Linked DNA regions of Ovis aries. The protein of the gene in region 2 purifies or fractionates together with the protein of the main gene of each other region. This does not show direct contact. Links are inferred from orthologs where the notes say so. Each region holds a gene or a part of one and is shown on either strand. Other genes may lie near its edges.

Evidence for each region. Proteins that work in one complex are often made in the same cells at the same time.
Region 1: the proteins of PRPF8 (region 2) and SART3 purify together in Homo sapiens (affinity purification with mass spectrometry; 4 studies listed by BioGRID, with this or other methods). This does not show direct contact. The link is inferred for Ovis aries from reciprocal best matches to the Homo sapiens genes PRPF8 and SART3.

The regions. Positions count from the first base shown.
Region 1 is NC_056070.1:64,542,639-64,546,288, reverse strand, and holds part of SART3 (squamous cell carcinoma antigen recognized by T-cells 3), read right to left. Parts: intron 2,673-3,650; coding exon 2,546-2,672; intron 1,438-2,545; coding exon 1,333-1,437; intron 1-1,332. UniProt on the Homo sapiens protein: U6 snRNP-binding protein that functions as a recycling factor of the splicing machinery. Promotes the initial reassembly of U4 and U6 snRNPs following their ejection from the spliceosome during its maturation.
Region 2 is NC_056064.1:22,665,231-22,668,880, forward strand, and holds part of PRPF8 (pre-mRNA-processing-splicing factor 8), read right to left. Parts: coding exon 3,488-3,650; intron 3,059-3,487; coding exon 2,932-3,058; intron 2,831-2,931; coding exon 2,638-2,830; intron 2,367-2,637; coding exon 2,179-2,366; intron 2,026-2,178; coding exon 1,787-2,025; intron 1,572-1,786; coding exon 1,425-1,571; intron 1,263-1,424; coding exon 1,052-1,262; intron 862-1,051; coding exon 745-861; intron 1-744. UniProt on the Homo sapiens protein: Plays a role in pre-mRNA splicing as core component of precatalytic, catalytic and postcatalytic spliceosomal complexes, both of the predominant U2-type spliceosome and the minor U12-type spliceosome.

The DNA of each region.
Region 1 (3,650 bases), on a different chromosome or scaffold from region 2:
AGAACTTAGCTAAAGTTTGTTAGCGGCTCTGTTTTCACTCACCAGTACAGAGCTGCCACATGGGCTGTGAAATACAAAATTAACTAGCTCTCTGAGGCAGAATGCTCCTTCAGTGAGGGTTAGTCAGGTTTACAGGGGGCTCTACACTTCTCACAAGGGGAAATGCCCACACGGGGAGTGAGGAATATTAGACAGGGAAAAGGGATATTTAATTAACAATGGGGACTTTTTTAAAAAACATTTTATCCACAACATTGTCTGATACAGTCCTCAGTGTCTGCAGAGAAAATATTTTAGAGACTTGATATACTTATATCAAACTGGATTTAAAGAGAGATAAAGCGTTCACACTTCACTTTCACTGAAGTGAAAGGCCAGCAGACCAGGCAGATCTCCGTGGTGATGGAAGATTCTGTAGCTCGAGACAGTGGTGAAATAAAATATCACAAAACTATATGCAGACATTGTACGTACCAAGGGCCGTTGCCTTGAGTTTGTCCTACAGTCATGGGGCTTTCCTGGTGGCTCAGTGGAAAAGAACCTGCCTAGAGCGCAGGAGATGCAGGTTCGATACCTGGGTTGGGAAGATCCCCTGGAGGTAGGCATAACAACCCACTCTAGTACTCTTGACTGGAGAATCCCATCAACAGAGGAGCCTGGTGGGCTACCGTCCATAGGGTCGCAAAGGGTGGGACACGACTGAAGCGACTGAGCACGCATATACTACAGTCGTAAGATACTGGCGGAGACTGGATCAAGAAATGACACAAGACCTCTCTGTACCATCTTCGCAAACTCCTATAAATCCATAATAATTTCAATTTTTTTTAAGTTTTTTAGTATGAGCTGGCTGGATGGCATCACTGACTCGATGGACGTGAATCTGAGTGAACTCCGGGAGTTGCTGATGGACAGGGAGGCCTGGCATGCTGCAATCCATGAGGTCACAAAGAGTCAGACACGACTGAACGACTGAACTGAACTGAGTATGGGGGAAAACAAGCATCCTGTCCAAAGCGTCTAAAATTCCATTCAATATGTAAAAGGTAGCCTTTAGTCACCTGGAAATAGCAGCTAAGTTCTCCCTGGAGATAAATGCTGGGGGAGAGTCTATTCACCTCCTCCCTTCAACTGTTTCTTCCACGCGCATTGTGAAACCAAGAGCCTCAACTGAAAACCACAGAGAGTGACGATAATACCCGCACTCCAGTCTTCCCCACTGCTGGTCGAAGGACGTTCCCGGGGGCAGCGCCTCACGGTGTGGCCCGGCGGCCGAGAGGGACGCGAGGGGAGCCTGCCAGACCCGCCTGGGCCGGCCCGCAGGGGACTCACAGATATAATCCTTCACCGCTCTCTCGAAGAGGTCGTACACGTGCTCCCGGTCCAGGCCGTCCATGGCCATGCTGGTCTCGTCGTGCAGCCACTCCAGCCAGAGCTCTGCAAGACACCCGCGCCCCGCGTCACCGCCCGTCCCGCGGCCCTCGCTCCGAAGGCGGGCAGAGCGGGCGCCGCACCCCCAGGCGTCAGCACACACAGGCTTCGTCTGCCTCATCCACCCTGGCCCAGTTCAGAGAAATTCAATTCTTACAGCCTGCACTAAGCACACACGAGGCTGACGCTTCCAAGAAAGATCAAGTCGCTGGAGTCATACTATCCCTCCAGCTACGGGGCGTTTCATTTTCTGCAAAGTACTTACACACTTTCTCTTTCAGTATCTATCAAAATCCTGTGAGGCAGGCCACAGTGACACTAGTAACAGTGGCATCTATCCAAGCATTTACGACACGCCAAGCACGTGTTAAGCAAGGCACACAGAATGCCTCGTAAGCAGAAACTACTGTTATCCCCGTCGTACTGCTGGGGAAACTGAGTCTTAGAACGCTTATATAATGCACTTAACGTCACACAGCTAGAAAGACATCTGAAAGGCAATCGGATTTCAGCTTCTACACTCCACAGTCATGCTTTGTGGGAGGGAAAGGGGGATAGAGCTGGATCTAGAATCTGTGTTACCTCACTTGTCCCTAAAAGATCAATTACGTATACGCATAGAGATTTAACTACAGAGGTGCTTGGCGTAATCACATTTCAAATAAGCAACTTAAGTAGAAATAACTTAAATGCCCAATTACTGTGGACCAAATAAGGTATGAAACATTTAAATTTAAAAGTGCTTATGAAAGTTTAACTATACTACAGTTACAATTATCTGTTTCTGAGAGAACAGATTAAATACATAAATACCAGAATGGGAAACAGAAAGGGAACGGGGAAATTTTAATGACATAGAAATATTTTATCGTAACATTACGAGAAAGAAATCAAGATTTGAAATGTGACTCAGTGCTGCATGACCACAACTATGTGTAGCAAAACCCTAGAAGATGAGAAACGAAAAGTCGCTGCCTTTGGATGGATTTTCTTCTTTCCACTACACTTATCTATTCTGAACTTTTTATGAGGAGCATGCCCCACTTTCAGCACGGGAAGAAAGACCCGTCAACTCTCTGCGCTTGTGAGAGCAGCCCGGCTGCGGAGGCACCACCTTCGGTCAGAGGGAAGATCTCGCTCATCTTCTGGCGCGCCGCCCTCACTCTGGTCAGCTCCCCTTCCAGCCGCAGCAGCCGGATCAGGTCCACGTGGCAGTTGTAGTCGTAGACGTTGATAGACAGCTGGAAGGAAAAGGGACACAGGTGGAAACTTAGAATGCGATCATCAAAACAGCTCAGCTTCTGTCACCACTGGCGAAAGCGCACGCCTGCTACGAGCACAAGATATGTGTTTTCTGGAAGAGTCACAGAAGCAGCGAGGCAACATTTCCCTCAGGAAGATGGAGAAAAATACACAAGAGACTTTCTGTTTCTTCTGAGCACACCACTCGGCGAGTGTGACCTCACTTCCCTGACCAGGGGTTGAACCTGGGGCCCTGGCAGAGTCCTAACCACTGGACCGCCAGGGAATTCTGAGAGACATTTTAAAATAAATGGAACACTCCTTCAAATCTGTTACAGGTCTTGTCGGAACACACTTGGTTCTCCCAGAAACACAGGAAACAGCCTAATGAAACAAACACAGAGTGACCTGAGGCAAATCACTCACTTTTCTAAGCTTCCCTTCTCTCATCTGTAAAGTAGGATACACCACCAGAGGGTGAGAATTCTGAAAGGTAACTCAGTATCACACTGTAGCGCATGCCAGCGACATGTATGAAGAGCTCTTTTCTTTTACTGACAAACAAATGAAAACCCCACCAGGAGAAACAAGAATGGGGACAGACTGGTACCAGACGAAGGTGAGTGACAGGCACAAAAAGATTTATTTTATAGGTACAAAAAGATTTATTTCAAACTTTCCAAACTAAAAGTTTAATAAACTAAGATCACTGCTTCCAAAGATACTGGACATCTGAAACAAAGGGAAACTAAAAGCACCTGTCACTAGCAGGCTTTTACTCTTAAACAGCTAGAGGAACCTCTTCAAAGAGAAGGAGAATGATAAGAGAAACCTTGGAGCATCAGCAAGAAAGAGCAGAACCACAGGTAAGCACAACAAACGACCCTTCTCTTCCTGACTCTCCTAAACTGTGTGTGATAACTGAAATACTTTAAGACTATCTGATACCCGAAACGACGACACTAGAAAGGAAAAAT
Region 2 (3,650 bases):
GGGGCTGATCACCTCACGACAGTTGTTTAATCTGCCCGTAAAGTTCACAGTTTTGCCTGCTTTGTGATCACTAGTGATTTCAAACTCACCAGTATCATGCTGCCTCGTCACCACAGCTAGAAACTGGACAATGACTTTGAAATACAACCTGATAAGAACCTAGACTTCCCTTTCTTTTTGGTATAACTGATGCTCTTGAGAGCAACAGCCAGGACATTCACGTGCACCATTTCTAGAACGGGAAAACAGCAGAAAGAGCAAGGCGACTTTTTAAACCTTGATAAAACATAAGCCCACACAGTTAAGTAATCTTCAGATTACTCTTTCTCAATTCCAGCTGCCTTCCAAAGGGGTGGAGTGGGGGGCTTTGGAAGCAACTGAAGAGGAAATAAACAAAGATACCTTGTTATACTTGCTTTTTAACATGCATGCTATATTAAAGGTCAAAAGATTAAATGTATGACCTGGATAACAAGCCTTCAAATTTTTTTTTTTTTTTCAAGCCTTCAAATTTAAAAATCCCACTTCTACTCTCAACTTAGAAGCATCGCAACTACACGGATGTAGGCTATAGAATTCCTACAGGGAATTCTCAGGAAACCACTGTAAATTGATCTGACACTCTAAGCTGCTGTACCATGAAGCATGGAGACTGTACTCTGAACACAGCTGGGAAAGAAGAACAATAAAGCAGGGAAGGACCGAAGGGATGAGCTGGACAGAGGCCACGACTACTGTGCGTACCTTCGTGAAGGTGGTGGAGCCAGAGGCCATCAGGATTTGGCGCACGCGGTTGTGGAAGCGCTGCATTGACTCATCATCCACACGCAGGAAACACTGAGCTGTCCGCTCTTTAGTCACCTACATCACAAGCTCAAGGTTAACCACCTCTGGAAATGCCAGGGGAACAAGAAACAACTCTGACCACCACTAAGCCCTAGGCTCCCAGGAAGGCCCAGCTGACAATGGAAAGTGTGCTGCGCCTTTCACCCCACACCTGTGAGGATGCAGCTGGGCCTACTCCTGCCCCCGGCCCCACCTGAGACTGTACCTCGTTCTGTAGGTTCCAGACCCCGTCCTTGTGGGTGAACTCCTCATAGCTGGTGCGGCACTTAGGCAGGATGCGGCACTCAAAACCACACATGTTGAACAGCAGGTTGGGGTTGTCCTTACTGTACACGGATACGAAGCTGTTCTCCCACTGAACTGTAGTCACTGAGCGTGGCAGACGGTTCTTGATGTCCCAGAACACTGCCCGACCCCTGCCCACAGAGAACACAGGGTCACATAGGTCTCTTGGAAGGAGCTTCCCTTCAAAGGCCAGCTAGACTGATGACGTCCTGACAGAACACGCCCTCCCACCCAGGACACCGCCTGATCAAGTCCCTTTAATCATCCTCTGGGTCCCTCAGGCTTAGACTCACAGGTTGACATCATGCTTCATTAGGCGCATGCGGGCGTCTCGGGGCCAGCACTTCTTGTTATTGTAGCCAACGATGTTTTCGTTGTTGGGGTCAGGGTGCTCTGTCAGGTAACGCTGGATAAGGTCCCGAGCCTCATCCGCTGTGAACCTACAGAGACAAGGTGCGTGGCTGAGGCCCAAGGACACTGGATCTCATGAGGCCTATGGCTCCACAGGTGGAGGCCACTCCCAATTCCCACCCTACTCACAGGACTTCATCCCATTTCAGAGCGCCAACCCAGCAGCAAGTCAACTAAAGTACAATAGCTGCTTCAGAAGCTGGGCAAGGACCTCAACACAATAAGACTCCAGGCAAGCACTCACCTGAAGAATATATGGATGCGATCAATGTATCTGCAGAAGAGACGGATGGGGTGGGCAGCCTCGGTGGCTATGTCTTGGAAACTGAGGAAATCATTTGGCATTTGAGGTGGCCCGGCCATCTCACTGGCTCGGTGCAATCCCAACACAAGCAAGTCCATCACCAGGCCATAGTATTGTACGATGAAAGAGGCAAACTGCAGGCCTCTGATGATCCCATATGAATTTGTATGGTTCATGTCCTAGAAAGAAAGACAATTCTTAACCACAGCCAAATCCCAGGGTTTTCAGGGCCCATCCTCTTCTGCCTTCCCCTCGCCACGGAAATCCCAACTCAGTGGGCCCGACCACCTCCCGCTTCCCCCAATTCCTTGCCACCCTGACCCAAGACACACCTTGTAATTGATAACGACGTTGTTCTTGGCTGTCATGTAGTCAGCTATGTTGTGGTCAACGATGAGACGCAGCAGCCTATTGAGCAAGGTCAAGTCAATCTTCTCATACATCTTCTCAAATCGTGACTCCAGCATGACATTGCACTCACCCTCGCTTGTCTCCCACACATCCTGCAGGTTATTGATGCCTGGGGGGGAAGAAACACAAAGCTCTGGCAGGTTAGAAGTTCCCTTTCAGGACTAGAGCCTACAGAGCCGTCACATTCCTATCCAGATCTTAAGACCACTCCATTCATTGGATTGCTAGCTAGCAGAGTCAAATCACTCAGTGTAACATCAACACCATTTCTTTGGTACCAGGCATCAAGAAAGTAAACTAATTATGCTATCTGGATGAGAATTTCAATGTAGAAATTAAGGTATCTGCCTTCCTTAGAGGCAACCCCAGAAAAGTTTTACCTTGGCACCACTTGTAAACAAGCAGAGGAGGTGGTTCTGTGTCTGCAGGCTTGATCCAGGGTGGGAACAGGCGGCGCTTGTCAGCTTCGTACCATAGGTACTGGTCCAGGTAGGCATCAGTGATCTTCTCCAGCGGCTCCACATCATACACTGGCACCAAGTGGCTATAGAGGTCCATGAACTCAATGCCCACCTGTGGGACAAGGAAGCTGGCTCACACCAACCCACCAAACACCCTGGGTGCCATGAATGAATCACACAGCCAAAAGAAAACGTGTGGGGCATCTCACTCACTTCTTTAAAGGCTCTCTGTGTGAGGAGGTGACGCTTGATGCGGGACAGCGCCTCATGGGGGTTGTCATAGGCCTGCTCGATCAGACCTAGCTCCTCCCTCTGAGACTGGTTTAACCGAGACTTCACACTGACAAGGCAAAAGAAAAGGTGAATGAGGGCACTTCCCTGCTGGTCCAGTGATTAGGAATCCACCTGCCAAAGCAGGGGACATGGGTTCAATCCCTGGCCTGGCCAGGAATATTTCACATGCCGTGGGGGTAACTAAACCCATGCACTGTTAACTTCTGAGCCCAAGCTCCAGAGCCCATGCTCCACAAAAGAAACCACTGCAATGAGAAACCCACACACTGCAAGTAGAGTAGCCCCTGTTTGCTGCAACAAGAGAAGGCCCAAGGGCAACAATGAAGACCCAGTGCAGGCAAAAAATAAATTTAAACAGTGTGAATGGGAAAACCAAGAGGAAGCCATCCCCAGAAAGGCCTTCTGTGGACTCTAAAAATGATGCCACTCTGTGTCCATCACCTCCCTACAGGGACCTGTCGACTCTACTCCTCACCTGTAAGCTTCCTTGAGCCGCTCCAAAGCCAAGATCAGCAACTTGGTGTCATGCTTATAGGAGAGCGGGGGGAAGGGGATGGGCGAGAATCTACGGCTTTCCAGCCAATGCACAGTTGTGGTATACACTGCCACCGCTTCCTCTGCTGTGATGTATGGACCAT